Linked DNA regions of Oreochromis niloticus. The protein of the gene in region 1 interacts with the protein of each later gene in a pairwise test. Links are inferred from orthologs where the notes say so. Each region holds a gene or a part of one and is shown in the gene's direction. Other genes may lie near its edges.

The links.
Region 2: the proteins of txndc5 (region 1) and gmppb interact in a two-hybrid assay, tested with the Homo sapiens proteins (2 studies listed by BioGRID and IntAct). The two-hybrid records come from large-scale screens. The link is inferred for Oreochromis niloticus from reciprocal best matches to the Homo sapiens genes TXNDC5 and GMPPB.

Annotation. Positions count from the first base shown.
Region 1 is NC_031974.2:23,869,290-23,884,926, forward strand, and holds the start of txndc5 (thioredoxin domain-containing protein 5), read left to right. Parts: upstream 1-9,659; 5' UTR 9,660-9,773; coding exon 9,774-9,958; intron 9,959-10,832; coding exon 10,833-10,985; intron 10,986-11,420; coding exon 11,421-11,526; intron 11,527-11,619; coding exon 11,620-11,716; intron 11,717-12,466; coding exon 12,467-12,582; intron 12,583-12,849; coding exon 12,850-12,936; intron 12,937-13,449; coding exon 13,450-13,611; intron 13,612-14,224; coding exon 14,225-14,307; intron 14,308-14,622; coding exon 14,623-14,752; intron 14,753-15,074; coding exon 15,075-15,197; 3' UTR 15,198-15,637. UniProt on the Homo sapiens protein: Protein disulfide isomerase of the endoplasmic reticulum lumen involved in the formation of disulfide bonds in proteins. Can reduce insulin disulfide bonds.
Region 2 is NC_031970.2:16,044,331-16,060,287, forward strand, and holds the start of gmppb (mannose-1-phosphate guanylyltransferase catalytic subunit beta), read left to right. Parts: upstream 1-9,174; 5' UTR 9,175-9,314; intron 9,315-11,314; 5' UTR 11,315-11,369; coding exon 11,370-11,498; intron 11,499-11,589; coding exon 11,590-11,670; intron 11,671-12,395; coding exon 12,396-12,444; intron 12,445-12,582; coding exon 12,583-12,725; intron 12,726-12,873; coding exon 12,874-13,032; intron 13,033-13,626; coding exon 13,627-13,705; intron 13,706-15,557; coding exon 15,558-15,685; intron 15,686-15,768; coding exon 15,769-15,951; intron 15,952-15,957. Other genes in the region: lymphocyte antigen 75, read right to left, coding at 1,782-1,834. UniProt on the Homo sapiens protein: Catalytic subunit of the GMPPA-GMPPB mannose-1-phosphate guanylyltransferase complex. Catalyzes the formation of GDP-mannose, an essential precursor of glycan moieties of glycoproteins and glycolipids. Can catalyze the reverse reaction in vitro.

The DNA of each region.
Region 1 (15,637 bases):
AAAAAGGAACCAGATTACAAAAACCGAAAAAACAAATAAACCCAAAACTGTTTTTTCTGTCTCTAGCTTATTTTCCACATTTCACCTATAACAGCCTGGTAGGCCACAGCTTTTATTTGTATGTCACTTAGCATGTATTAGCAGGTAGCTGTGGTGTACCCATATAGTCTAATAGGGCACAGACACACAAAAACATCTTCTGTTAGCAGTAAAGTAAAGACTAGATGTGAAACAAGCAAGAAACTTTACAACAAAACACTGTTTGAGATGAAAGAAGAGCGACCACGTTCATGTCTATGTTTAGGTGTAGCTGGGGAGGCACTGCTTGCCTTGCTTGTTCTTGTGATGGGACACCACTCCTTCTGGCTGATGTATAATACTTAAATACTTAAATACTTTAGAGGGTTACCTACATCACTGGGGCGTGGAATGTCCACTAGTGACCAGTTGTCAGATAAAAAGAGATGTGAAAGGAGCAAATCACATTATATGTGGACAAAAATTAAGGATTTGACAGGATCCACTCGTTGACTATAAGCTAACAAAGCTAATTAATAATTGTCAATAATAATTCTGCTAATAGCAATTTACACTCCACATATGTTTACCAGAATGCCAAACTCAAGGCTCCAAAACAAATGTGTGGCATCATAGTAGCTACGTCCATCTTTTACAATCTATGGTCTAAAAGTAGCACATCTAGGTTTCCTTAGCAACCATAAAGTTACAATGCAAAGTGTCCTGGCACTTGTAAAAGTCGCCAGGAAGTCACTTGCATATATGTGGTTGTTTAGAGTTGCTGGTAACTGCCTGCTGGCCATAGCTTAATTTTTATAATGTAGAGATAAAACAAGAGACACAAGATCACACTTCTCATGTCACTTCAATCAAGAACAAAAAAAGCCTTTTTTTAATGTAACTCGACTTCTTTTAAAGGTGAGACAGTTGCACCAACCATCTGTTGAAAGCTCTGCCTACTAAATCTGAAAAATGTAATTGTTAGCAACTAGAAACCTGGCTTAGAGAAAGAAAACATAAAGGTTAAAGAGCAACATTTAATCCCTACAACAGAGACAAAGCAAACAAGGGCAGAGATAACAAGAATGGCACAGAAGAGGGAGGAACAAAGGGGAAGAAACAGGAAGACAAAGAAAAGATGGAAGGGAAAGTCACCAAGAAGGGAAGACTGGTCCCTGGCCTGTAGATCAAAGCAGGAAGGGGAGCAGGAGCTCCAAGCCGGTCCTCCCAGCACCTGCTGCTTTGCTACAGCCAAGTCAAACACATTATTCCAGCAGACGCACTGCTTAATGGCTTCTGTGGAGGGACCTTTACCCGGTCCATGACTGCCTCTGCAGACGCATCAAGGCACACGCTGCGCTGACACACACGCAGAAATACACCAAGGCTTCCTAAAAGTCATTCATACTCACTGCTTATGCAGGGTGACACATCCAGGAGCGCGCAGACACAACTTTCCTACGTGCGATTCATCCGATCATTTTTATTGCACATTTACTTGAATTATGGACAAATCCGCTCACCTGTCAGAATCATAACTTCCATAAAGTTCCCATGGAGTTTATGGGCATACAGCCCCACGTTTACAGTGTAACATCATCACCTGGTTCAGCCATTGTGACCCCGTCTTCCCACTCTAACTCAGCACTCTATTAAGGTGACCGAGGTTATAGCTGGACCTGAGTCAACACTGAGCAGAGAACAAATCATCTCTAGAAAAACAGTAAACATCTGTTTTGTGACTTGGCCACCTCTCACTGGCAATGACAGCCTGACCTCAAAGGCTGGGCCCCTTTTACATTTTCCATGAGAGCAAGCAGTAGTACAAGTAAGTGGGTGACAGCATCTGTAATTTTTTTTTAAAGTGGGGAAAAATAAAAACAAACCTTGATGCAATGAAGGAGGGGAGCTCTTAAAGTGTCTTGCAGCATGTCCAAAGAGAATAAAACCACAGACAGTCTTTATATACGGCTTTTGCTGAGGCAAACTGTAGCCTCTCTGGTTATTGATGACATTTATGGCTCGTCTCATATGAAATACTGTCTGCTGAAGTATCAGTCTACTTTCCCTGTAACTTTAAGCCTTCCTGGCAGCTTCTTGATTTGTAAGTTGTCATTGATACCTACGTACACCACACATGTAACAACAACCACTTTTCTTCTCTTGGAATCAAATCATATGTCGCTTTCTTCTGATCCTTCAAAGGAAGCTCCATTTTCTGCTTCAAACACTTGGTCCAGCCACAAAGCACATATGGAGCTGGTAGTAATTCAGTATCTTGCTCAAGGACACTTTGGATGTATGTGTATGTTTTTGTTTATGCTAAAATATTATTTTGATAATGAGAATTATTGATTAACTGGACATAAAACACGCAAAAACGGGTTTCCGGAAGCATCGTTGGTCACACTGACTGACTAACTGAACCGCTAAGATGTCTAGGATGTCCATAAATCCCAATTCTCTTTTCTCCTCTTCTCTCATATTCCTTCCTCTCTTCTGTTTCTTTTTTTCTCTGCTGCACCTCAACTCCCTCACTCCCTGGTCAGTATATCCTGATGGCTTTACCAGAAGGAAGTGGGGCCTTTACAGAAAGGCTGTGAACCAAGAAGTGTCTGTAAAAGGCAGCCTCCTAGTCGGGCTTGGTCCCGTCATCACCTGCGATGTCTCACCTCATGTGACAGGTATAAATATTCATCAAAGTGCAGAGCTGTGTAGGTTCTTTCATCAGTTCAGACACTTTTTCAAATTAATCCAAGCTAGGAAAAAGCGACAGTCCAAACTACAACTGTACTGCGATCACTGTGGGCACAATTAACAACGTTTACATGGAACTGGAAACGCAGAGTTTTTGTTAGGTTTACTCTGTCTACCTCCTCCCTTTATGACTGCGTAGGGACTGATCATGTTTACGGGGCAGGTGATTTTGAAGTATTTTAATGACAAAATCTGACAAAAAGTAAGAATGCTGGTCATGTGTCTGTGCAGTGCACACATGCAGAGATTCAGATTTTACAATGAGGTATCCAGAGTTAGATTTCCATCCTTTTTCTAATATAAAATTCATATTTAGAAGACTACAAAAGGACAAGTCCTGACAAATTTTCAATGGATGTACTTGAGGAAAGATTCAATTCAATTCCGTTTTATTTATATATTGCCAAATCATAACAACAGTTGCTTCAAGGAGTTATTTTAAGGTAAAGACCCTACATTAATACAAAGAAAACAAAGAAAACCCCAACAATCATATGAACCCCTATGAGCAAGAGCTTTGGTGACAGTGGGAAGGAAAAACTCTCTTTTAACAGGAAGAAACCTCTAGCAGAACTAGACTCTCAAGGAGGGGCGGCCATCTGCTGTGAGGGGAGGAAGAGAGGACAAAGACATGCAGTGTCTCTATTCTGAGCCATAATAAATATGATTAATCAGACTACTTATGATGTCATAGTTAACAGTTAGATGTTCAGGTGGTCTGAACCAGTCTGAAGCTTTGGATAAAACGGGTCATAAGACAATGCTTACAGTAGTCCACTCTGTGTTCTTGAGCTTTCTCAATGAATGAATTTTTTGGTTTGATTCTATATTACTCCTTTATTTATCCAGGTAAAAATCTCATTGAGATTAAAAATCTCATTTTTAGAGAGACCTGTCATCATATCATTTTGTGATAGCTGTGCAGCTCCACGTCATGCTATTGTTAAGGTGAAATGAGCTCCTGTGTATTGTTTTATTGCTATTACTTATATTAATTCAAACTTCATGTGGCCATTTTTATGTAGATTCATTTTAATGAGATTTGCTTGAAAAATCCTTTTGTCGATCAAAACAAAACAAAAACAAAGTCTTAGCAAAGACATTTTAGCAGTGACATTTTTGGCTCTTCTTGATTTTGGTTAGTTTTGCCCTGTGATTGTTTCTTTTTTTTGGAAAGCAGCAGTGATTTGCAGTCAGTATCCAACCTGTGCACAGCTTCTGTGTGGAGTTTCCAAAAGAGAGAAAACAGCTAGCCCTGTAAGGTCACAGGCACATGATAGTATTTCCAGGCTGTAGACTCCTCATGAGGCCTGGCACGCCTTTAGTCATCTGCCTGGATCCAGCAGAGAGCAGCAGAACATAAAAACACTTTGGATAGAGAGGGCGTTGTCATGGCAATCCACAACCACCACAGCCTCTCAGCCTCCTCTATCCTTTTATCCGATTTCTTTATTTCCATTGTCTTTGCTCTCTTTCTTTTGTTCACCTCTGACCTTCTCTTATGTCCTCCTCGCCCCCTTTTCAGCCTCCCAGATGAAAAGTCAAGGTGCTTTCTGATTTCCACACTTTAATCTTTTTTTTATTTTTTACTGGAAGTCCTCCAATCATGTGGGAAAGCCCTTTCCCAACTGTTTTCTTTTCCAGCACAGGTGCGTGCGGCATGGGTTTAAGCATGAGCTGTCTGCAAATGACATTGGTTCCCCTCTGTTGGTAACATCCTGTTTCCCGGATATAATACGGCCATGAGTCTCGGTCTTCCTAATGGAAACACTTCTGGCTTTGGATTGCATCAGGTTCAGTAGTGGGAAGACAATGCTTTAAGCATTTTTACAGAAAGAGTGAGTGTCCAGAGAGGTAATTCCCATATGTTTATATGACAGAATTAGATTTGGTCAGAAATAGACTCTGAAATGTTCCAGAAGGTCTTCTTAAAGGGTTTCTCAGTGTTTCCCTTGGCACTGGTGAAAAGCAGACCCCAGTTTGGAACAGAAAGACAGTAGACACTCGCCGACCACATCACTGGATTCAACTGCTCGTTAACACAAATGTCAAGTTGGCCAATCACATGGCAGTACCCCACTGCATCGAGGCACGTAAACATGGTCAAGAATACCTGTGAAGTTCACACTGGGCATTATGAGGAAGAAAGGTGATTTAAGTGACTTTGAATGTGGCATGGTTGTTGGTGCCAGACGGGTGCTCTGAGCGTTTCAGAAACTGCTGATCTGCTGGGATGTTCCTGCACAATCACCTCTAGAGTTTACAGAGAATGCCCTGAAAAAAAGAGAAAATATCCAGTGACCAGCAGTCCTCTGGATGACAATGCCTTGTTGATGTCAGAGGAGAATGGCGAGACGGCCTCATACCAATAGGCAGGAAAAAGAAACTCCAACAACAAGGTATGCAGAAGAGCGTCTCTGAATGCACGACACATTAAACATTAAAGTAGATGGGCTACAGCAGCAGAAGACTACACTTGATGCCCCTCCTGTCAGCTAAGAACAGGTATGGAAAACGTTGTCTGGTCTGATAAATCTCCATTTCTGCTGTAACATTTGGACGGTAGAGTCAAAATGTAGTATAAACCACATGAAGGCATGGATCCATCATGCCTTGTATCAGCAGTTCAGGCTGCTAGTGGTGTAACAGTGTGAGGGATTTTTTTTTTCTTGGCCCACTTTGGGCCTCTTGGTACCAACTGAGCTTCATTTAAACACCACAGCCTGCATGAGTATTGTCGCTGACCATGTCCATCCCTTTGTGACTACAGTGTACTCATTTACTGAAGGGTCAAGCTCAAATCATCTCAAACTGCTTTCTTGAACATCACAGTGAGTTCACTCTACTCAAATGGAGTCATTCAATCTCAATCCAACAGATTCATTTTGGGATGTTTTCAGCACTATTTTGAATCTGTGCAAAGAATTAAGGCAGTTCTGAAGGTTAAAGGTGGTTAGAAATCAGGACCAGTAGTGTGTTTGCAGTTTATAGGATATATTGATCATCATTTCCCCATACTGACTTTTATGTACAAGCAAGCCTGAGACGAAGACTGCGATTATGACAGGAAAAGAATCTGGTGTCCTCTCTAAGGCCTGTGCCTGACCAGCCTGTATTTAAAAACTGATTTTCCTTTGGTGTAGAAAAGTCTCAAGTCCTCTGCCTTGAGTTCTTTCTCACTCGTTGAACTTTGGGGCTGGGACAAAACTTAACTGTAGCATAAACAATTTTAAGTTCACACATGCAGCTTCTTTCGGTCACTTTTCACCCCGTTCACCACCTGCTGACTCTTTCACTCTCAGCCACCAACTTCAGGCAAATTAAGAGAATAAACAGAGTGTCCTTGGGTCCCCTGAGTCTATTCATCTTTCTTTTTCCCATTACACCACGCTATGACTGGCCTGGCAAGGTGCCTAGCAATCAACAATGGGTAACCAGCAGACACCCGCAAGTATGTGGCCTCCACTACAGCGGGATAAATGTAAAATATGTCGGCGCTAATTTGGTCATATTTACCACGGCTATATGACATGTTGAGATTAAATAGTGATGTGTGGTTGCTGGCTTGCCCTGGTAACAATAGAAGCCCCTTTGGGAGAGTCCAACCTGCACATAGAGGTTATTTATCATGTGTACATGTCAAGGAAAATAACCTCATATATCATTTTTTACTTTAAATTAACCGTAGAGGCCTTTGCGTTTCACTGAGTGAGCAACAGCTGGGACGTAAGCAAGAGCAAGCGAGAGCTGTGGGTCAAGGCCATATTTTGATAAAACAGCTCAAATAAACTTTAGTGGGTGGGAGTTCTCATTCTGCCAACACCTTGGTGTTAGTACAGCAGACTAACTCACAGAAGGAATATGATCGGAGCAATCATAAGACACTAACAGGAAACCACTGATGTGACATGAAAGAGTTTAGGATGGCAGCTCGCTGTGTGCGCCCAATCAGTAGCACACGAGGCTGCAGAGCGTCTTTCTTTTAATAAACAGTTTGACATTTAGTGTAATTTGCCTATTTGCTCTTATGCCAGAAGTTCAGAGAGAAGATTGATACTCATGTCTATGGAAAGACATCCCTTGCCATGACAAGTAAATGCAGGGGATACTTTTACAGTGAAGGGATAGATTTAAACCCAACCCACAATATTTTGCTAACCCAGCAGTTTTTGCTACCTAAGCCTAACTACACAGCGAGTTATAGCAAGTGAAAAGCACGTAAAGCCCCCAGAAGAGGAAACAAACTGCGACCTTGATGCATTTTATGAACCTGCATCTCGCCTATATTGCTGCCAACTAAAAAGGTGCAATCAAAAAGTTTTTCCTATAAAAAGATAACAACATGCATTTCCTATCCCCTTCAAGGTTGTGTCCTTGGGAGGTAAAACACTGCTCCCAGTACTCCTGCTGCATTTCAATCACTGCCAATATATACAGGGTGTGATAGAAGGCAACAGGAAAAATCAAAACTGTTTTTATTCCAGGGAAACATTTGTTATATAGATATAGGTTAGTTCTGCTGCTGTTGTGCATTTTAATGTGGGAGTCTACAGAGACTTGCTTTTGGAACCAGCCCAAGTGGGCAACAGAGGAACTGCAGTTATCTGTGTTTTTGAGCCCCGGAGCTTTCAGGTCATGTAAGAGCAAACCTGCAGTGGTCTCCTCTCAAAAAGGATGCAGCTGTCGGCAGACTGCTGACTTTGAATTTATCTGTTTTCTCTTTCTAAGGTAAGATATCTCCTGCACGTCTTCAAAGAGATAGCCTAGTATATTTTTTACGGCCAGAGGTGAAAGATCACCTCATGTCTGTCTTGAGGTCAGCGTACAAATCCTCCTGGGCAACGAAGTCGGCTACAAGTATGTGGCTTCTCCTTTCAGTGGATGTACTCCCCGTGGACAGAATAATCCTGTGTGTGTGTGTGTGTGTGTGTGTGTGTGTGTGTGTGTGTGTGTGTGTGTGTGTGTGTGTGTGTGTTGGCGTGTTATGGGTGTTTAAAAGCTGGAAGTTCAATCATTGTCTTGGGAAATTACAGGAAAATCTCCTGCCACTGGCTGATTTTAAAGTACTGTCACACACACTCATACAGAGCACTTCATAAACACCTCAGCCTGAACTTATATCTAAGTTCAGCTGTGCATGGCAGGATCATTTTCACCATAGTAGACCATCTGAAAGAGCTCTGTCACGCAGGCGACATCTCTGTCTGTTTCCATGCTGTAACCTCTTTGTTCCTTTTTCCATTTTAACTGTTGTCCAGATGAAAGGTTGGGGGTGTGGTGGGGTGGGGGTGATTAAAGAGAAATACTGTTAATATGAAGGTTGTCTCCATTTGGTTTCATGAAATCATGACTATAATAAAAGATGGGAGGACTTTCCAAAGAGCTGTCAGTTCACAGAGCCAGCAGGTACTTTCTACTCTGGGAACAGACACACGCAAGCAGCCTCCACCGTGGGAATATATGCATGATTTATATCCACTGTGGCCATTACGCAAGGCTGTAGCCCCCACGGGACGAGCTATTTAACCAGTGTAAAAAATTGGATTAATTATGTTTGCTTAAAATGTTCTCACTTTAAAACATCATTTCCAGTGATGAGGAGGAGGCAACTCTGACTCATATCTGACCATCGGTGCAGAACACCAACAGTCTGTCTGCCATCTGAACCAGCAGCGATTTGACACCGGAGATGCATTTTTTTTAACAGCAAAAGCAAAAATATTAACTTTAAATGTGGTCTGTTTTCACAATATTTCATTTTTTCATGGATGTCTTCTAGATTTACACCCCTGGGCATTAATAGAGCAGCCTGTCTTTTCAATAAAGAGAGCCTCAGGTGTGAAGGAAACTTCTGCTGCCGGCCAAGGTGGAGCAGTCAACCCGAACTTACTGGACCATTTATAATAGACCAATTTGGCTTTTCCTTACACCAGCAGAGGCGGAACAAACTCTCCTGAATCTCTCTAATTTGATTTTTCTACATGACTTCAACTTTCCTTTAACATTTAAAAATTTAACTTCACATTCATCATCTTAAATTTACTGTCGAAGTGTTAGTGAAGTCCATAAAGTGCTGCATATGTTGATCCAAAATTTAAAAAAAAAATATGGGAATTTAATGAAGCTACACTCTCTGGATACTCTTATTAGGTATACCCTGCTAGTACTGGAGCCTCTTTTGCCTTAGTTGTTCATGGTACAGATTCATCCAAGCGCTGAAAACATTCCTCAGATGCTTTGATCCATGGATCCAAACCAAAAATAGCCCCAATCGTTGATACAAGGTAAGAGGATCTATGTTGTTTACACCAAATTCTGACCCCATCATCCAAATGTTACAGCAGAAATCGAGAGTGATCAGACCAGGCAGCATTTTCCAGTCTTCTATTGTCCAGCTTTGGTGAGCCTGTGTGAACTGTAATCTGTTTCCTGTTCTTAGCTGACAGGAGAGACACCCAGTGTGGTCTTCTGCTGCTGTAGCTCATCTGCTTCAAGGTTCAACATGTCATTCCTTTGAAATGCTCTTCTGCATTCTTTGGTTGAGCAGTTATTTGAGTTACTGTTGCTCAAAGCTGATATCTCTGGCATGAACAAGGCATTTTTACCCAGAGAACTGCTGCTCAATATATATTTCTATGGCAATAGTGAACTCTTATTATATTTATTGTTATATATATTATTATATTTGCACACCTTTTATTATAATATACATATCATCCCCCTGGAGTCAGTAATACCTCACAGGCTTTCACACTTCTTTGTAAAGTGGCACTTGTTTGAACCTGCCACATCTGATAGAGTTGCAAAGCGCTAGCGGGCCGCCACAGATCTACACAACACCGTGATTAGATGCCCATATGCAGCTGTGGTAAGCTCCATCTTGGAGCATCCCATCCAGGTCTGGCATTCTTTGAGTCAGAGGCTGCCAGAGGGGCGTGCTCGCAGAAAGTCGGTCCTTTCACACCAGCAGGGACACCGTTCAGCTGCCGAGATTCACCATGGCTTCATCGCTGCACCGCACACCCGTTTTGTTGCGTTTTATTCACTTGTCGTTACTGCTTGCTGGTGTGTTATGCGACCTTGAAGCAGAAGAAGATGAGCATGCCAAGCACACGTACACGGTGGATATGTTTAACGAGGCGGTGCCCACTGCACCCCACTTTGTCATGTTTTACGCTCCATGGTAAGTAAACGCTCGCTAAGTTTTTCTTTTTTTTTTTCACACGGGCTTCAGCAATTTTCCCAAAAGTACATTGTCTATGTGTTTAATATTCTAATTACTACTGAAAACACAAAAGCGTTTCTGATACTGGATTGGAGCAAACCGGCAAATTAGCAAGCAAGCTAGTTAGCACGCAGGCTAGTTAGCACTAGCTCATTCCTTTCGCTCATTGAGTGATGTTAGCTTAGCTGCTAACTAGCAAAGCCAAAATAGCCAAGTGCAGCTGAGCGAAATGAGACGCATTTTCTTCTTTTACGTGGTCCTCGCTGTCGTTTATGCTAACACTTCGCTAGCTGCCAACATTCAATATGAAGGTTTGCAGTTGAAGGCTGTACTCAAACAGTTAAACAGCTTTTATTTACAGAGCAGGAGTTATTCAGCCACAGTTCAAAGTTGTTCTTACAGGGCTGCGCTTACGTGGCACGCACTGATTGACTGATGTTATAAGAGTTGTTGCAAAACTGAGGTTCACGGTCCCCCTAGAGGTCCTTTGCGGATAACAAGAATTCATAATGCCATTATTGTTATGCAGTTTAATTTGGTCACCATGCACCGCATAATGTAAACAGGGAGCTGACGCTAAAGACAGAGATTATGAGATTATGTGAGGGGTTCTTTTGTTTTTGTTTTTTTTACACGTGATTGTTTAACCTTTTCATTAATGGAGAGGGTATGTGTTGGTTTTATTGTCAAATAACAGGAAGCAGAAAATACTGAAGCAGTGTGCCTGTGTCTGCATCCAGAATACAGTGTTCACATACACTGTTATGAAAATATAAACTCTCAGCTTTCCATAATGCATTAAATCCCCCATGTTTGCCTCTCTCATGTCAAGGTGCGGCCATTGCCAGAGGCTACAGCCAACGTGGAACGAGCTGGCAGAGAAATACAACAGCATGGATGACCCCCCGGTGTATGTGGTAAAAGTAGACTGTGTCCAGGACACTAAATTTTGCTCCAATGACCACGGCGTTAGAGGCTACCCTACGTAAGTACTACACTCACACCTCATCAGCTTCACTTATTGATGTCCGATTGCTCCGTGTATATATATATATATTTGTCAGTTTTCCAGAAACACAACAGAGCATAACGCAGCAGCTGAAGCATTTAGGCTTAAACTCCTCTTAGATCATGGAAGTAAACAGTCTTTTTCATCACTGATTGACAGAGGAGTGACACATTGACATGCATTTGGTCGAATATTCTGCCATTATCTTAATGGCTGAAACTTGGATGTTGCACCATGCATACCGTAACTGCAAATGCAGCAGTTTACTCCATAATCATTGACAGAATACCTGTTTTTATGGTTAAAGTTATAGCTAAGATTGACTTTAACTCTCTCATCCAGCTGTAGATTTGAAATTATAAATCTGCCATGCCGCGTCTCATGGAGTTGAATATATTGTCTTATGTGCAGGCTTAAGTTGTTTAAGCCTGATCAGGAAGCAGTGAAGTACCAGGGCCCCAGAGATCTGCAGTCTCTGGAGACCTGGATGCTGAAGACGCTCCAAGAGGAGCCTTCGGTTAGTGGTTTGGTGTTCGTTCAGTCATAACCTCACATCCTCAAACCAGTGCAAGACTGATGCTCATGCTTTTTGTTGCTGAATGTTTTGCAGGAACCAGAGAGTGAACTGGAGCCTCCTAAAGCCCCAGAGCCCAAACAGGGAATGTATGAGCTCACCGCCCTCAACTTCAAGACCCACATAGCCAAAGGTAAAGATGCATTAAAAGAGATGCTGTGTAAAGCTTCAGTTAGGCAACGTAATTAGCCAAGCGACTTTGCGTTTTTACGCAGCTGCATCCTGCTGTAACAGATAAGCCGTTTCTGTGTTGCCGTCATTTTTGAATCTGCTTTCAGTTTTCAGCCACACCGAGTTTCTGGATCTCACATTGGAGAATGGAAACACCTCATTAACTAGATTTACATAACTGACATTTCACCACCCGAGTACCCGAGCGTCAGTCAAAGCCAGCCGACTGTAAAAACCCTCGTCTCCCGTCGCCTCACGTTTCTGGACTTTGAGGCAACAACTGCAAAAATAAACGCCGCTCACGATAATTGTCTCGCTGAAATTACGGCTCTTGAGCTCCACTGAAGTTGAATGTTTTGGTTTTGAAGGAAAAAAAGTAAATGATTTCTTGTTTGGAGATGAAAATCGGCAGGATATGACATAGGTATTTTTAAAACGATGTTTATAGGTCCCCACCTTCACATCTTGGCAACAGGGCTGCAATAAACGTTGCTTAATTGGTTCATGTGAGCTGTAAGAGGTGTATATCCATTTACAGCAGGTTGTGTTGAGTTTGCAGTGAAATCAGCTTTCTTACGTTCATTTTCTGGACCAATAAACTTCAGTCTCGCTTTGTTAGTTTTGTGCAAATGTATAAATTCACTAAAAGCTGGTGTGCAAATGCTGCAAGGCTTTTCATGTTCTCCCTTTCTTTCTTTTCTTCCTGCCTCAGGCGCCCACTTTATCAAGTTCTTTGCACCTTGGTGTGGTCACTGCAAAGCCATGGCCCCAACGTGGGAACAGCTGGCCACCACCTTTGAGCACTCTGACGATGTGAAGATAGGAAAGGTGGGTTCAGATGTTAAAACAACAGAACAGATAGACACTCACTACAATGAAAGTTAACCTTCTTGAATTAGTCCCAGCTCTCCTTGTGGCAAACATTATTTACTCTTAAATGATTCCTGTCAGGATCCTGTGTGACAGACCAGGATGTTGATCATATGAGGAGCTAACTATTTACTTACTGTGTTATAAAAACAGCTCACAGAGCCAGTGTTTGCAGTGTTGCAACATTTCTGTTTAATAACACAAGTTTGTGTATTTGTGAACTAGGTGGACTGTACTCAGCACTACGAGGTGTGTTCTGAGAATGGTGTGAGGGGATATCCCACACTGCTCTTCTTCTACAATGGAGAAAAGGTATGCAAAACGTTTGTGGAATTTGTATAAAATAGTTGTACACGCGAGACAGATGTTGGGAGTCGGTGTCGTAGGCATTGTTTAAGCTTCATTCATTCCACTCGTTTAGGAGACGTGGAACATGCAAACATACATATGCTAAAATCATTTCGGTGTGATGATGATGATTCATGCTAAGCTGCTTAAATAGTTACAGAGACAAATCTGAAGGCAAGTAAAAACCCACCAATGTTATCACAGTGAAAACGGTTAATGTGTTTCATTTGTGGCATTAAAATTCCAAGTCGGAGTATAATCAGTCCATCAGAATGGTCTCAGAGTATATATGCCTTTGATAGGTGGCTTAAAAAAAACTTCCTGCTTTTCTTAATAACAGTGTTCTGTTGAGGGGAACTCATTCGGTTCAGAGGTCATAGGAAGAAAAGTAACAGATTTGATGCGTACATCCAAGAAATATTCAAAATATTGTTCCACTGGTTACAGTAACTCTTGTTTCTTGTCCTCTTTTCGTAGACAGAACAGTACAAAGGAAAAAGAGACCTGGACTCCTTCAAAGACTTTTTGGACAACCAGCTGAAGGCTGCACTCACCGAGGAGGAAAAGCAGGAGGAGCAGAAGGACGAACCAAAAGCAAATGAGATCCCTGCTGAAGAGCCAGCTGAAGAGGAAGCAAAGGTGGGTGTTCACAACAGAGAGGTGTTGTGCTCTGATAATATTTTGGTGTCCTCTTTTGTATTTCCTGTTTTGTATTTTTAAGTGGGGGCGTTTGTGTGCCCCGTTGAGCTGGTGCTCAGAGACCTTAGATACACAGCAGCTGCACATTGCAGTGATCGTTGATGCATTCAGTGGGGTCCTGGCTGTAAAGTTATTGTGATTCTTAGAGGACTTGAATTGTGTATTTTTACATTACAGTACACACGTAGTGCGCTACTTCTGGATACCATTACTGAGAATCTGCAGCACATGAGCAGCAGTTATTTCCTGTTGCAGTGAAACTACTCAACACATGTACATGTAGTAGTTACACTGTAGGTCTTTAAACCTGGCACCCATTCAGATTCTAATTAGGTGAGAGACTGGCAGCTAAATTATGCCAGAATTTTGCATATCATTTTATTAATGAGATGATGTGGGCATTACTGGGGAACATAATCTGTGCACATAGTTCATAAACTCTCACTCCAGTAGCAGTATAATAAATATAATAATGCAATAATGTCCTCATGGTGAGGAAAAACACGGATCCATATAATTCCAACTTGTATTCCTGTCCTCTTTCTGTCTGTAGTCCAGTGTTTTGGTCCTGAATGAGGACAACTTTGAGGAGACTGTAGCCAAAGGATTCACCTTCGTCAAATTCTACGCTCCATGGTGAGATTATTCTTTAACACCTTTCTTTATTGTGTGTTGTTAATGTCAAATGAATCATGATGCCTCAGAAATTCAAGTATTAAATAATGCTTAGCCTGTGTCTGCAAGAGAGGGCTTAAAACTAAGAGTAAGATGAGTTGGAGTGTATCATTTTTAAACAAATATATGTTAAGTACCTGCAGATGCTTGAAGTAATTATTGTTCTAGTGACTAAAGTGCTTAAACTCCTGATTTAAAATGTTGGCAGCCAGTGTTTGAAACACAATTTGTCAGTCAGTGAGAGTGATGTCACTCTTGTGTTATCCTGCTGTCTAGGTGTGGTCATTGTAAGAATCTCGCTCCAACATGGGAAGATCTTTCCAAGAAGGAATTTCCTGGTTTCACTGATGTCAAGATTGCTAAAGTGGACTGCACTGTTGAGCGCACACTCTGCAACAAGTACTCTGTAAGTGAAATTCTCCCCTTGTGTCCACGCGCTGAATGCTTTGCACTCGGAGACTGTTTCTGGCGCACGTACCCTTCTGTGAGCTTTATTTTTCTGCAGGATTAAGCGTGTTACAGTGTTGCAATAAAACTAAAGTGGTGGATTATATCAAAGACATAAAATTATACAACTGCTACATATTTTAATTAGATACTATGAAATAAAACCCTAAAGCAGATTTAACACTCTTGGTGGTTGGTGCGCACACATTTTCAGCTTTGAGTGAAGCCATGGTTATCCAGTGATGACAGTGTTGGTGACATTCTTTTTTCATGTTATCCAGGTGCGCGGTTACCCCACCTTGATTATCTTCAGAGCAGGGGAGCAGGGTGATGAGCATCACGGCGGGCGGGATTTGGAGAGCCTGCACGACTTTGTGATGAAGCAGGCCAGAGACGAGCTGTAGATACGGGCTAGTCGGCGCTCTCTCTCTCCACAACTCTACTCGCTCACACTGCATATCTGGCCAATAGGACACCACTCTCTCTCCTACAAAAGCCAGACCCCTCTCTGTCTCTCCCCCCACTCAGTCAGTCATCCAATGACAGGCTGGCGCAGTCAGCTTTTTTTTGGTATTCAAGTGCAGAATCATTCGGTAAGAGTGTTTGGAAGGTGATCGTACTTCTCATTGCTCTTGCTCCACCGTAAACCATGTGGAGACTGGTTGGGCCTGAAGATGAAGTAATATGTGTGACAACCACTTTGCAAGCTCTGCTCAGAACCAGAACTCTTCACAAGAATACAAGAAATGTTAAAACAGTGGCACTAAAGTTTCTACCTGTTTGTTTTTTTTTTTCTTTTAAATCAACTGTTTCTGACGTCTCTGCCATTTGACTTCTTTTTTCC
Region 2 (15,957 bases), on another chromosome or scaffold:
CTCCTCCCACATTCACTTAAAACATACAAGCTTAACGACAGACTGGTTTAGGACAAGTGACCACATGAACTTTTATAATAAGGATGTGTTCTTATATTTATTTAACAATAATATCTGTCTATGTATGCATCTAAACTATCTAAACAATCTAAACAAGTGAAATCCCAAGTCTGACACCACGACAAGACCCAAATCGCTTTTGGGTTGCGTCAAGAAGTATAAGTTAAATCTGCTAAATAAAACGTGTGAAGTTATCTGCTGTGGCAAACAGACGTGAATATAGGAGCAGTTAAAAGTACCTTTATCTGAATCTAAACTGCAGTCCCGTGTGTCGGGTTGTCAGGAATATGCTATCTTTCTTTTAACAAAGCGCCAAAGAAATTTTTTCTTGGAAATTTGTTTTTCCTTTCACTGAGGCAGGAACTATTCGCAGCATCATTTGCATGAACAGAAAGTTGAAGGAGAGCCAGAATTGCATGAACAGAAAGTTGAAGGAGAGCCAGAATTGCATGAACAGAAAGTTGAAGGAGAGCCAGAATGCACTAAACAGCAGCTTCATTTACACAAAACATCACGCTAGAGTGTTTTTATGAACAGAAGCAAAGCTGGCTTTGAATTTCACAGGTCAGTTTTCTTTCTGTTGTCATTTCCCCCTTTATGGAAGACTTCTCCATCCGACTGCTCTTCACTTCAGAGTGACTCCACTCACTGCTTTCTCTTTCACATTGTGAAAGCTGCTGAGTGATACAAAAAGCAGGTTAAAAAATAATCTTTCTCAAACATCACATTCACAAGACTGACCGTGAGGTCAAAGTTACTGACAACTCATGTGAGATTTTCAATAGATACAACTACAGTATTAAGTCTAGGTGAGATCCCAGCAAACAAGGGAGCGTTCAGGGATTGTTCACTGCCCCACTTCAGCTAACGTTTTCTAAACGGTGTGTGAAGAAAGTTTTCCTGATGTTTGGGGAAAGTTCACTTTTGATTAAAAAAAAAAAAAAAAGATGGTTTGGAGGATGTTTTAAAAACATCCCCCAGACTGTCAAAACCAACAATAACATTGTAAACACGATAACTCGACAAAGTCTATATAGTCTAAATCTATAACCTCGACCTTCACCTTCAGGTTGAGGTCAAAGTAATAGATTTTCAAACTTGTCAGAGACTTTTAGTAGATCCATTTGAAAAATCCTACATCTCCCTTTTCTTGAGTTATCGTGTTCACAAAGTTGGGTGTCATCACCACCGTTCTGCCTAGTGGGGTAATGCTAACACCCCATCAGCCTTTTTCCAGTCGAGGGGTAAAAATGAAAAAGATCTTTCAATTCATTTCAGTCTTTATTGAAAGACTTTATGTCCATAAAAAACAAGACAAAACACAATATATAAACCTTAATAAAAAACATTAAAAATATTAAAAATTTGTAAAAATATAAAACCATAACACACATAAAATACACAATTACTTAGAAGAAATCAATAAATACACAAACACTTAAACTAATGCTTTCTCAGACTGGATAATTAATGGGAACCACTCGCTGTCGGATCTGTGAGTGCTAAAATTATACTGCCACTAGAGCCATGCAGTCGTCACACAGTCACACCGCTCTCAAGGCGCTGCTGCTGTGGTGCTACTCCCTCTCCCACGCAGAGCGGGCCGAATAACTCCTCTCTCTCTCGGGCCACTCCCGAGCTCATGGAGAGCACGCTGTCCTTGCTAGGAATGGATGTGAGCTGGCCCCGCCAACTCCCTGCTGCTGGCCGTGAAGGATTACCTTTCACTCGCAGAAGAAGCAGATCGCATTCTCTTGGCTAGGAGCTTCGACATCCAGGCGATAGTTCCTGACTCACCAACGACATCTCCCGTGCCCCCACCGATTCTCCCGGGGGCCTCCAACTCATCGATGCTGGCTGGGATCGCGGCACAGCAATAAAAAACTTAAAATGCACTGTTCCAAATTATTATGCACACAGAGTTTCAAAAGATTTTATAGGTTGTAGAGAATTGAAAGTGGTCATTTGTTGAATTTGCAGCATTAGTAGATCAATTTCACTGACATCAAAAGCTATTTCAATCAAAAACATCTTAACAGGTCAAGTTACATATTAACATAGGACCACTTATTTGATAGCAGTTTTACAATTCTTGCATCCATGGAACTTGTGAGTTTTTGGAAAGTTTCTACTTGAATGTCTTTGCAGGATGTCAGAACAGCCTCCCAGAGCTGCTGTTTGGATGTGAACTGTCTCCCACCCTCATAATTTTTTGCTTGAGGATGCTCCAAAGGTTCTCAATAGGATTGAAATCAGGGAAGAATGGGGGCCACTCCATGAGTTCCTCTCCTTTTACGCCGATAGCAGCCAATGATGCAGAGGTATTCCTTGTAGCATGAGATGGTGCATTGTCTTGCATGAAGATGGTTGTGTTGCAGAAGGCACAGTTCTTCTCTTTCTACCATGGAAGAAAGTGGTCAGTCAGAAACTCCACATACTTTGCAGAGGTCATTTTCACACCTTCAAGGAGCCTAAAGGGGCCGACCAGCTCTCTCCCCGTGATTCCGGCTCCACCACCTCCTTCTTGACGATGCAGCCTTGTTGCGACATGGCGGCTGTCCATCAACCATCCATGACTGCATCCATCTGGACCATCCAGGGTTGCACTGCACTCATCAGTGACCAAGACTGTTTGAAAATTAGTCTTCATGTAGTTCTGGGCCCACTGCAGCCATTTCTGCTTGTGAGCATTGGTTAGGGTTGGCCAAATATAAGGTTTATGCACAACTGCAAGTCTCTGGAGGATCCTACACCTTGATGTTCGCAGTGCTCCAGAGGCACCAGCAGCTTCAAATATGTGTTTGCTACTTTGTAATGGCCTTTTAGCAGCTGCTGTCTTAATCTGATGTATTTGTCTGGCAGAAACCTTCATCATTGTGCCTTTATCTGCACGAACCTATGTGTGCTCTGACTCAGCCACAAATCTCTTAACATTATGGTGATCACGCTTAAATTTTCATGAAATATCTAAGGTTTTCATTATGTGTCCAAGGCATTCAACTATTTCACGCTTTTCAGCAGCAGAAAGATCATTTTTCCTTCCTATATTGCTTGAAAATGGTGGTCTGCTTAATAATGTGGAACATCCTTCTTTAGTAGTTTTTCCTTTAATTGGGTTCACCTGGCAAACTAATGATCATAGGTTTCCGAGATTGATTTCAGTGATACAAAGAGTCCTGAGACACAATTCCATCAATGGGTTTAATTGAAAAACAACTTATTTAATCTTTATGACACTTAAACACAATTTGCATAATAATTTGGAACGCGGTGTAATCATATTGCACACCACACTCAGTACAGACAGTAACGCAGCACTGCTTGGACTAAAAACAACCAGGTCAACTGCATACATGAGATGATTTATCAATGTTTTACCTAATATACACCCAGTGTTACAGTCTCTCAGCTGTATGGACAAATCATCAACATATAAATTAAATAAAATTGGAGATAAAACCCCACCCTGTCTGACACTATTGCTAACACCAAAGGGGGCAGAAATACTGCTTCCCCATTTAAACTACATCTTCTGATGAGCGTGCCAGTAAGAGAGAATCCTCACAATGTATCCAGGAACTCCCCGCCGCTTCAATTTATCAAAACGTTTTCTGTCGTTTACTCGATCAAAAGCTTTAGAGGCATCAATGAAATACATAAGGACAGATGAATTTTTTTGCCCTGACTATTTCTTTGAGTGCATATATGCACATGTCAGTGATGTGCTTTGGTCAGAAGCCAAACCGATTATCCAGGGAATAGATGAACACACTAACTCTGTCAATCAAGATTCTTTCTAGCACCTTAGATAAAATACTGGCTAGTGCAATCCGCCTATAATTATCCAGACAGCTCACTTTTGCAGCTTCATTCTTCATAACTGGTACAAGTAAAATACACAGCATTGAGTCTGGTAGTATCCCATGAATCATAAACCCTAGCAGAGTGCTAGAAGAGGAGCTAGCCTTAACCTAGCATGTTTTAAATGTTCTGCAGTGATGTGATCCAACCCACAAGCTTTATTATCAGATAAACTATGAATGGCTTAATATACTTAATATACTTAATGTGTCCTTACACTTATTTCTTTTTTCCCCTTTATCTCTTTATCTGGATTTTTTGACATTAAAAAAAACAAAAAACAAAAACCCCAAACAACAACACACTAAGCAGTCTGAGCCAAGTAAAAGAAAAACAAAAACAATATGGTAAATAATTGTGTCTACCAGCCGTTTACACATTTGACCTGACAAACCCAACCTGCCATTAAAGTGGGCCTGCCCCTCTCCCCCATAGTTTCCCTCAGATCATCAGGTAAGTATTCCATTAGAGGGCGCCATATATCCATAAAGATATCATCATTACCTTTCAATTTTGCACTCAGTCTTTCTATTGGTTAGACTCTGAAGATTTCTTTATACCAGTGTACAGTATACCAGTTGAGTTATTGTTGGTGGTTTTTCATTGATCCAATTGAAAAGAATACATTTTCTTGCCAAGAACAATAATTTTCATATAGTTTATATTTGTTTTTATCGGGAAATTTGTTCAGAGTTGGCAGAGCCAATAAATACTGAGCTGGATCTTTTTGTACTCTGCATTTAAATATACCCTTTAATTCGTTTGTTACACAGAACAAGAATTTTGACATTTTTGAACAAGTCCAAAGACAATGCAAGTAGGTCCCCACCTCAGATTTACATTTAGTACATTGTGATGACCTACTCGGATCAATTTTATTCAGAAAAGTAGGCGTTCTATACTGTCTGTGTAAAATTTTATATTGTATTTCTTTAAATCTGTTATTAAGAAATAAAGAATGTGCAGATGGTATGCACTCACTCCAGGCATAATCATCACAATGACACTGGAGGTCTCCCTCCCAACTCCTGATATGTTTTCTAATATTATGTTTGTTATGGCCTTGTAATGTATTATAGAACTGTCTTATAGTACTTTTATCTGAATTTAAATGTAAAAAAATGCATTGGGTCCTAGTTGCATTGTATTGTGCAAAGCATCAAAATTTGAAGTAATGAACTGACGAGCCTGTAAAAATGCAAAAAAAAATCCTTTTGATGTATTCCATATTTCCTTTGGACCTGCTCACAAGACATACAGACATTCCCATTAAACAAATCACCAACCACACGTTTCATTACTCATGTCAGAATTGTCCTCATATGGTTCACTTTTTATACAGTTAAACAATGCATGATGCTGCAGTGTTATCTGCCGCAGAAACACCTTCAACCTCTTTATTATTAGACTTATAAACGGTCACTATTTACTGTTGTGGAAATAAGAATCCACTAAGTGTAATCAGCGACTTCATTATTTTTTGCTTTAGTTGGACTTTCTCCTGCTTTCTTGTTTAGTAGTGCAGAATCCTCTCTTACAACATCATCACCATTCTTTCCTTCACCTGGAGGGCTACACATTTTCTCATGTGGAGAAACGGTATGTTTGTTGTATTAAAACTGCAATAACCTTCTGGTTCTGACCGAATCTCGTTTCCTTACGAGGGCTCGGAGTTTTAAGGACCTATCCTCGCCACGCTGTTTTTCTCTGATTGATCAGACTTGGAGAAGAGGCGGGATCAGTGTGTGGGACATACCATTATCCTTTCTCTGAAATACATAATATATTTTGACAACCGTGACGTTTTGACCTATTTTACGGCAACAATAAAACTATATAAATATACATTCACTTTTTAAAAATATTATTTAGGAAGCTTTCAAGTGTGCGGCTTAGACTCTGTTAGAGTTGAACACCCCTGAGTTTATCAAGGCAGTTAGAGATGACCTTCGAGTTCGACAGACTTCAGGCAGTCAAACCGGAAACTGAAACATTTGGCCTTTAGAATAAAAACCATAACGTCTCCGAGGCAGAGAGGACCTGCCCTAAGTATTTAGAGCAACTTGATTTTAGTAATGAAAAGGCAATTTGACATGGAAAGATACAATCTGAAACCAAAAAACCCTAAGACTGAAATAAAGTCAACAAAAGGAAAAAAAAGTTACACTGGAACCAAACCATAGCTTTGTTACCACCAAGATTTTTTTTACTTAAAAAAAAAGAGAAATATTTCTTCACATTGATAAACACACTTAACTCATATTCCTTGCTCTTGGAACTGCCCTTACATAAAAGTTAGAAACAAATCGCTCTTTGTGCAAAAATGGTACAAAAAAGGCAACTGGTCAGTGATGCATTTATTAAATGATAAAGGTAATATTTTGTTTGAAGATTTCAGGGCCAGTTATAACTTGCAAATAAGCAACAAAGAGTTTCAAAAAATTATTAAGGTTATCCCTCAAAACATTCTTTGTACAGCACATAATCTGTTTCAAAACCCTGACTAGATCCCCTGGCCTCCCTGGACTTTTAGTAAATGGGCACAACATTACAGCTAGCAGTCTAAAAAACTCTAAAATAAGTGAATTATTCACTAATGCTTTTTTCCCATATAGATCAAATCCAAATTCCATTTCACAACTGTTTTTCTGCGATCAAAAGAAAGAAATCAGAACAAAGTACATAAAACTTCCCATTCCTCCAAAAGCTAAGGAGGTCCATTACAAAATCCTCTCAGGTGTTTACCCTTCCAAAGAATTTCTCAGACATCGTTTTGCTATTGATGATAACATTTGTTCTTTCTGTCATGGGAATATTGAATTGACAGAACATTTATTTTACGAATGTATATACTGTAAAGCCCTGTGGGACGATGTGCACTACTGGGTTTTCCCAAAGATTCCAAACTTCCTTGAATTTTCTAAAATTATGATATTATTTGGATCTCTAAGAAAAGAAAAGAAACTTAAAAATGTCTTATACAGTGGGTATGGAAAGTATTCAGACCCCCTTAAATTTTTCACTCTTAGTTATATTGCAGCCATTTAATCATTCAAATCATTTAATCATTTAAGTTCATTTTTTTCTTCATTAATGTACACACAGCACCCCATATTGACAGAAAAACACAGATTGTTGACAAAAACTGAAATATCACATGGTCCTAAGTATTCAGACCCTTTGCTTTGACACTCATATATTTAACTCAGGTGCTGTTCATTTCTTCTGATCATCCTTGAGATGGTTCTACACCTTCATTTGAGTCCAGCTATGTGTGATTATACTGATTGGACTTGATTAGGAAAGGCACATACCTGTCTATAAGACCTTACAGCTCACAATGCATGTCAGAGCAAATGAGAATCATGTGGTCAAAGGAACTGCCTGAAGAGCTCAGAGACAGAATTATGGCAAGGCACAGATCTGGCCAAAGTTACAAAAAAATTTCTGCTACACTTAAGGTTCCTAAGAGCACAGTGGCCTCCATAGTCCTTAAATGGAAGATGTTTGGGATGACCAGAACACTCCCTAGAGCTGGCTGTCCGGCCAAACTGAGCTATCGGGGGAGAAGAACCTTGGTGAGAGAGGTAAAGAAGAACCCAAATATCACTGTGGCTGAGCTCCAGAGATGCAGTCGAGAGATGGGAGAAAGTTGTAGAAAGTCAACCATCACTGCTGTATGGCAGAGTGGCCCGACGGAAGCCTCTCCTCAGTGCAAGACACATGAAAGCCCACATGGAGTTTGCTAAAAAACACCTCAAGGACTCCAAGATGGTGAGAAATAAGATTCTCTGGTCTGATGAGACCAAGATAGAACTTTTTGGCCTTAATTCTAAGTGGTATGTGTGGAGAAAACGAGGCACTGCTCATCACCTGTCCAATACAGTCCCAACAGTGAAGCATGGTGGTGGCAGCATCATGCTGTGGGGGTGTTTTTCAGCTGCAGGGACAGAATGACTGGTTGCAATCAAGGGAAAGATGAATGTGGCCAAGTACAGGGATATCCTGAACGAAAACCTTCTCCCGAGTACTCAGGGCCTCAGACTGGGTTAGGTTTACTTTCCAACAAGACAATGACCCTAAGCACACAGCTAAAATAACAAAGGAGTGGCTTCACAACAACTCCGTGACTGTTGTTGAATGGCCCACCCAGAACCCTGACTTAAACCCAATTGAGCATCTCTGGAGAGACCTAAAACACCATTGTCCACCAACGTTTGCCATCCAACCTGACAGAACTGGAGAGAATCCGCAACGAGGAATGGCAGAGGATTCCCAAATCCAGGTGTGAAAAACTTGTTGCATCTTTCCCAAAAAGACTCACAGCTGTATTAGCTCAAAAGGGTGCTTCTACTAAATACTGAGCGAAGGGTCTGAATACTTGGGACCATGTGATATTTCAGTTTTTCTTTTTTAATAAATCTGCAAAAATGTCAACAATTCTGTGTTTTTTCTGTCAATATGGGGTGCTGTGTGTACATTAATGAGGAAAAAATGAACTTAAATAATTTTAGCAAATGGCTGCAATATAACAAAGAGTGTAAAAATTAAGGAGTCTGAATACTTTCCGTGCCCACTGTATGTGATAATTGTTATGGGTAAATTCTTCATTCATAAATGTCGATTTCTGAAAATAAAGCTGTCCTTTTTCACCTTTCACAAAGAACTCTGCCTCTTCCTCTCATCTGTAAAGTTTATGGTCAAAAAACAAACTGTGGATCTGCATCATATGGTTAATGAACTAAAGCTTTTAGAAAACCCCAAGGTTATAATTTTATTTTATGACTTTTAATTTTCATTTTAATTTTTATTAATTTCATTTATTTCTTTAGTTGCTTATGTTTATTTTATTTTCATTATCTGTCTTTTATATTTTGTAAGAGAGCCTGTCGTGGTATTATCTCAAGTTGGAAAAAGTCTTTGACAATATTGCCATATTTGTTATACTTGTTACATTTGTTTAATTAATCAAAAAAAATATTCCTTGCTCTTGTTTTTTTGTCCAGTAAAATTAAACTGGGTTCAACAAGTTTTTCTGGAACTAGCCCATTAGTTGCATACATTTTTCAAAAAGTCTGTAAGCACAGGATTTATCGATTTTCATTTCATTTTATTTATTTATTTTTATTCCACTATTCTCATTTAACTTTAAGACCAAGAAACCTTGTCCAAATATTAGTCTGTGGATAGAAATGCTGCACAAAGCCCGTTTTTAAAATGACTCTTATTCTGAAACGCTTCACCAGATAAGGTATGTTGACGTCGAAAGAGTTGATTGGCCGGCTCTTGCACCGGAAGCCAAACAAGGATTCGGCGTTTTAGCGATCTTACGTGTCATTCCCAGAGTGTCAGTGATTGAGACCTGCTGAAGACTATTAATGAAAAAAACCCAGGTGAGTTTTCATCGTTTTCATTTACTCTCACGCTGTTCGCAGACTGTAAAACCTGAATAGTAACCAGCTACCTGTCGATTTGAGTTCATTTACTGTAGATAAATAAAGTCAGCTCTGTCAGCTGACGTTAGCTATTTAGAGGCACTGTAAGTTCAGTACAAACCAAAACATGATCAGAGTCACATTTTATCTCACTGTTTCCCTTAAAAGTGAATTCATTTAAGGTAAAGTGCTGATGTAATCTGTATAAAACGCAATACTCTTAACAGGTTGTTTTAGTAGTACCTGTTTTAATCTGTGTTTATTCCCATGTGTATCCTCGTTTTGTCACCTGTTTGTGTTGGTTGGTTCTTTGGTTTGTTTTTCGACACTATTCAGGAACGTAAATATCACCCTATCACATGTTCCAGACCGCCTGATAGAATGAATGAATGAAATCTGTTGATCTGAGGCGACACCATGACCTTTTCTTGTTCTTCTTGTTCTTCCTCTTCTTTTTCTTCCGGATGCTTCCTTTAGAGTTTGCCACAGCGATCTGCTGTCACACCAACCATCTAAATGTCGTCACTACAGCCTTAAATGTTCTCTGTGCTCTTGTTCTTTTCTATCTGCCTGGAAGCTCCATATTTAACATCCTTTGTCCAGTTTATTCACTATCCCGCCTCTTGCATCGCTAACTTTGTCTCCAAACCACTACTGCCTGAGCTCTCCCTCTGATACTCACTCCAATGGAAGTCTGAGCATCTTGATCTTTATCACCTAATAATTAATAATTAAGTTGAATTTAATGCAGCCAAAAAGGTGGCAAATGCCTGAATTAATGCAGCCAAAAAGGTGGCAAATGCCTGAATTACTGCATCCAAATGTGTAAATGCAGTAAAAACAATAACAAAATCACCATCACTGTGATTTTATTGTATTATTTACTCAAGTGTACAACTTTGTAAAAAGACATTTACTTTCTTCAAGGCCAGTAGATATCAGGAAAATGCACAGACTTCTGTAACACAGATTCTTTGCTTTAACTGTAAGTGGACCAGACATGTTTACATATATAGTCACTCTCAAAGGTCCATTTTGAATCAGGAAAACCCTGACCTAAGTTAAACACGTTAAAATAACAGTACAGAAGTTTAGTAACTAAGAATATAAATAAAACAAAGTGGAATTTAATCATCCATTTTCTTCTTTTAATACAATTCACCTTTCCACCCGGAATAGAATTGAGTGTAGTAAAATGGCTCAATAAAAATACGACAAACCAAAGTAAACAACACAATGGATCAGGAAATAGTCTCTGATCTGACCACAGTTCAAGTCTTACACGTGATTTATTTTAGTAATGATGTATTATTTTAATACATTATTACTTTAAAATACATTAGGCATTATCTTTAAAACTACCTGCTCAAGGTTAGAAAATGATCATGGATTTTGTAAAGCTCTGTATTAAGTATAGCCCCAGATTTATATTAGTGGTATCACATTGTTTTTTTGCCAATATTTGCCTGTTTGTATATTGGCATTTGTGTCTATTTTATCTGATATTCACTGATATGAAAAATGTAAATGCTTTGCTGTCCATCTGTTTTGCACCCGTCTGCAAAGTTTTTTTTTGAAATTTCACTCCATAGTATGTTTGTTCGTGTACTGTAAGTCACACAAATGTCATCAATTTCATGGGAAGAACCTGTTTTTCAAGTAAATCCAGAGAACAAATACTAAGGGATCTTTGCCACAAGCAAAATATTGACATGTGCTGTTTGAAAATATCAAATACTGGGAGAAAAAGTTTATAGTAAAATAATAAGATCATGATCTGTCCTAGAGGTTATAATAAATTTTTCTCTGATTGTCGTCTTCAAAGTAAAAAAGTGACTGTATTTGAAAGTCACTTTTAATTTTAAATCCAACACAGAAACAAGCATGACAGATTTTTTTCTGTTCTTCCTTTAGAAAATGTCTGATTTTAATGATGAATGTGAATCTCATCTTTGCAGGGCATCAGCATCTGGTTATTGATGAACCTGGGTAACTGTTGGTAACGGCAGAATCATGAAGGCTTTGATCCTGGTGGGAGGGTACGGGACCCGACTGCGACCGCTCACCCTGAGCGTCCCAAAACCCCTCGTGGAGTTCTGCAACAAACCCATCCTGCTGCACCAGGTGGAGGCGCTGGTGAAAGTAAGGCAAAGATATCAATAAGGATCTAATGATGCTACTGAGAGGTTATTTTGTGTTGTAGTCATGAATCACTGTCTCTGTGTGTTTTCAGGCTGGGGTGGACCATGTGGTTCTGGCAGTGAGCTATATGTCAGAGCTGCTGGAGAGAGAGATGAGAGTGCAGGAGCAGAGAGTACGTACAACAACCTGCACTGTTACAGCAAACACCACCAGGTTTCTCCTGCATGGAGTGATATATGATAGATAACCAGTTTTATTAATCAGGATTTCATTTACTGAGGTATAATTGTGCACAACAGTCACTGTCGAGTATGTTTGGTTCCCTTTTCAAGAAACTATCGGCGTCTCTGCTTCTTATTTTTCTGGTTCTAGTTTATCCAGGATATTCAGAAAGTCGGTAACAGGTTTTAGGTTCAAGATTTCCAATCAATTGGTCTGAATTTAGAAACTAAGTCATCCTCAAAGGATGGCTAATTATTCTGAGATTGCTTTTCAGGCAGTGCAAGCCTGCAGTTTTAATTTTTCTATGGACTGTTTACCTGTGTGGAGAAATTTGATCATATGTGATTGGTCAGTATAATCTCTGGACTATAAGTGGAAAAAAACAGAAACAAGAAATCTTTAGATAGATTGTGATTAGTTGCGTGTCTCATCTGTGGCTTGTAACCTGAAGGGAACATCTTTAATCAGCGTGATTTCACACTAGGTGATCTTTGTTGTGCTTGATCAGGACCTCAAAGACTCGGTTGTTGGACTTGTGGGATTTCTGTATCTCTGGTCACATGTTAGGAAATAAATTCCGGAGACATTCATTTGGATTCGTGTGTGATGTGGTGTGGTTTCTAACTGAGCCCAAACATTAAAGTTGAACCTGACTGTTTTTTGTTTTCTTCTCAGCTCGGGATTCGTATCTCTCTGTCTCATGAGAAGGAGCCTCTGGGAACAGGTGAGTTTTGTCTTTACGACAGACAGATCCAGTAAATGGCTCTCTGCAAGTATCCAGTGATTCAACATTGATTAACTCATCTTTTAAAAACCATAGTAAATTAATGTGAACCATATAAAACTGTGTGTTTGTGCACAGCGGGTCCCCTGGCGTTGGCTCGAGACTTGCTGAACGATGACGGTGAGCCGTTCTTTGTTCTCAACTCAGACGTCATCTGTGATTTTCCGTTCAAAGATCTGCTGCAGTACCACCGCAACCACGGCAAGGAGGGAACCATTGTGGTAAGAGAGACTGTCCAAGTATTTCCTATGCTTAGCTGCTGCATATTGACAGGTTTTTATATGTTTTAGGTGGTTTAGGGGAAGCTGACTACTGTGGGGTCATACTCTGTGTGTGTGTGTGTGTGTGTGTGTCTGTGCGTGCATGAAGGTAACACGGGTGGAAGAGCCCTCTAAGTACGGTGTGGTGGTGTATGAGGCGGACAGCGGGAGGATCCATCGCTTTGTGGAGAAACCACAGGTCTTTGTCTCCAACAAAATTAATGCCGGCATGTACATCTTCAATCCCAGCATGCTCAGCAGGATCCAGGTGAGGAGGCTCTCGCACTCACTCATAGTGTCGATGTTAGTGTGTTATTTAGTAACAGACTCAGTGTTTCCCACAGACGGACTTTACCTGGGTGGGCCACACTGTTAGTATCTGGTATTATTGAAGACTGAAAGCTGAAAAGGAGCTACCACCAGTGCTTCCAGCCTTTTAGTTTTGATCAGAGTGAAGAATGCCATCTGGGTCACTGTTCAGCCTGTCATTGTGGCAGTCACTGATATCATTCAGCTTCTTGATCAGAGCTCGTCCTACATTCTGATGTACTCAGACTTCACTATCTTAGACTGTAGCTAGTGATTGCAGTCCTCCTGCTCTGAATATCTCCTGCGAGACCCTGGGTCACTCTAAGCCAAACCTACAACAGGTTTGTGTGCTGCTTCTCTGAGGTTGAAGAGCAGACTACGCTACAGCCACCAGCTCGTCTTCAACACGGTGGAGTCTACCAGCAGGATGAGACTCACTGGAGAGGCACCTGATTATGTGGGAATCTGTGGGAAACACTGAGTCTTGAAGACACTATAGTTTTGTTTATTTTTTGGACCATGTTCATGACTTTTTTATGCATTCTTTTTGCAGCTGAGACCAACATCCATTGAAAAAGAAATATTTCCTGTCATGGCAGGGGAGGGACAGCTGTATGCCATGGAGCTGCAAGGTAACTAATACTAATATTAAGACTGCAGTACTACAGCACAGGACTCTTCTCCTCCAGTGGCGTAGTGGTCATATAGTGACTGGTTTGATTCCAGCCGGAGACACAAATCCTCTTTGGGGTTGCGTCAGAAAGGGCATCCTGCGTTTAAAGAAAATCTGCCAAATCAGACATGCAGAGCTGCCCACTGTGGCGACCGCTGGTGGCAGGGAAGCAGCCGAAAGTAGCTTCTACTACAGCACAGGACTGTAAAGCTGCATGTGAGATCTGAACATTCAGCTTTTGCCCAAAATAGGGGCCCGTGGAGAAGATCGTATTCATCAAAATGATGCAAGTCAGTTCATAAAAGTATACAGTGGTGACCTCACCTTTTTCTTAACACAGCAGTAGGATCAGTAGGATGGAAATGTATGGTTTGAAGCTGACCTGTGTGCTTGATCTGGTCTCTGCAGCTCACAGCTCCACCAGACGTAAGTGTTTGGGCTTTTCGTGCAGGTCTGGAGAGGAAACGTTTGCAGAAAAGCACCACTAACCTAATCTTTATGCTCAGACCTAAAGGTTCTCTAAAGTTCTGATACAGATGTTTAAAAAGAAAACAACAAAAAACATAAGAGCTCACCAGCAGGAGGAATCACTTGTTGGTGCTTCTCTACATCCTCATTCCTCTCTGAGATCCTTTGGCTTTGCTGAAACAGCGGAACCACGTAGTCAAACCCCCACCCCATCCTGACCTGTAGTCCAGGCAGGCTTACTGGTCCCAGTCAGTAGTGGGTTTGTTCCCCTTTAGAAGATGATGTGATTCATCATGTTTAAGTAGTAAAACAAGGTCCTCGAGATTAGCAGCGAAGCATTTACTTAACTTAAGAATCAAAGGATAAATAAAAAAAAGATGGGCTTGATTTGTTCTTTAAACTTTCTTAGAGGAGTAGGAATTTGTACAAGTGACCTAAATTCTGTTTTGTCTTGGGCGTAAAAGGCTAAATAAATCCATTACATTTTAATAACTGATCTTTGGCTAGTTTATGCTTGAATAAAATTAGATAAATTCAGTTTAAATCTTTACGTTAATCAGAAACCAGAAACCCTGATGTTTATTTATGATGCTGGTGCTCATAAAAACCCTGATTAATGTTGTTCATACTGGTCATGCTTTCTTTCTTGTGTGGTTTTATTCAGGTTTTTGGATTAATGCTTTTTCAGGATTGGTATTTATTGAATTATGAATTGATGGTGATTTTTCTCCCTCTTTTTTTTTTTTTAAACGGAGATCTGTAGAAAATCCATCATTCTTTCCAGTGAAAATGTGGCTTTTTTAACCCACTGCACTGCATTTTCAGTTTTCAGTTTAAATCTGTATCTATGTCTGTCCTGGTTTCCACTTTTCCCCCCACAGCTTAACGGTAAGGGGGTGACACCATGTTGCAGTGGTTAGCACTGATAGGCGCTGGGTTCAAACCTTCTGGTTGATTTCTGTGTGTTTGTTTGCTCCTGAAATTCATAGTCTGCGGTCATACTTGTTAGGTTATAACTGGTGATTTTGGTGGCCGTAGGATTAGATGTGAGGGTACCTGTTTGCCCCGGTGTACTCCGCCTCTCCTCTCTTGATCCTGCCCCCCCCACAACACTTAGCTGGATATTTGGTTGAGATAGATGAATGATTTGTGCAGCTATGAGAAGAAATGCTGAAAACTCTGCTGGCAGTTATGTAAAATATATGGTAGAGTTTGCAGTCAGCAGATAAATGTCTGCCTCTTCTGTGACCTCATTATTCAGTGAGTCACCTGTTAAAGATCACAAGGAGCCGCCTGGTTGTTTTCAAGCTTTCAGCTTCCACCCTCTGTCCGTCTGTCTGCAGGTTTCTGGATGGACATCGGCCAGCCTAAAGACTTCCTGACAGGGATGTGTATGTACCTCCAGTCAGTACGACAACACGCACCTGAGAGATTACGCACAGGCCCCGGTTTCCTCGGCAACGTCTTGGTGGTGAGTGCACTTTGTTAATGTGACATCAAAATAAAGGCTTGTACTTCATGATAATGATCATCCCCTTTTCTTCTTCCGTCAAGGATCCCACGGCACAGATCGGGGAGAACTGCACCATCGGCCCGAATGTCACCATCGGCGCCGGCGTTGTCGTGGAGGACGGGGTGAGGATAAAGCGGTGCACGGTGCTGAAAGGGTCAAGGGTTCGATCGCACTCGTGGCTGGAGAGCTGCATCGTGGGGTGGAGCTCGTCAGTCGGCCAGTGGGTGAGT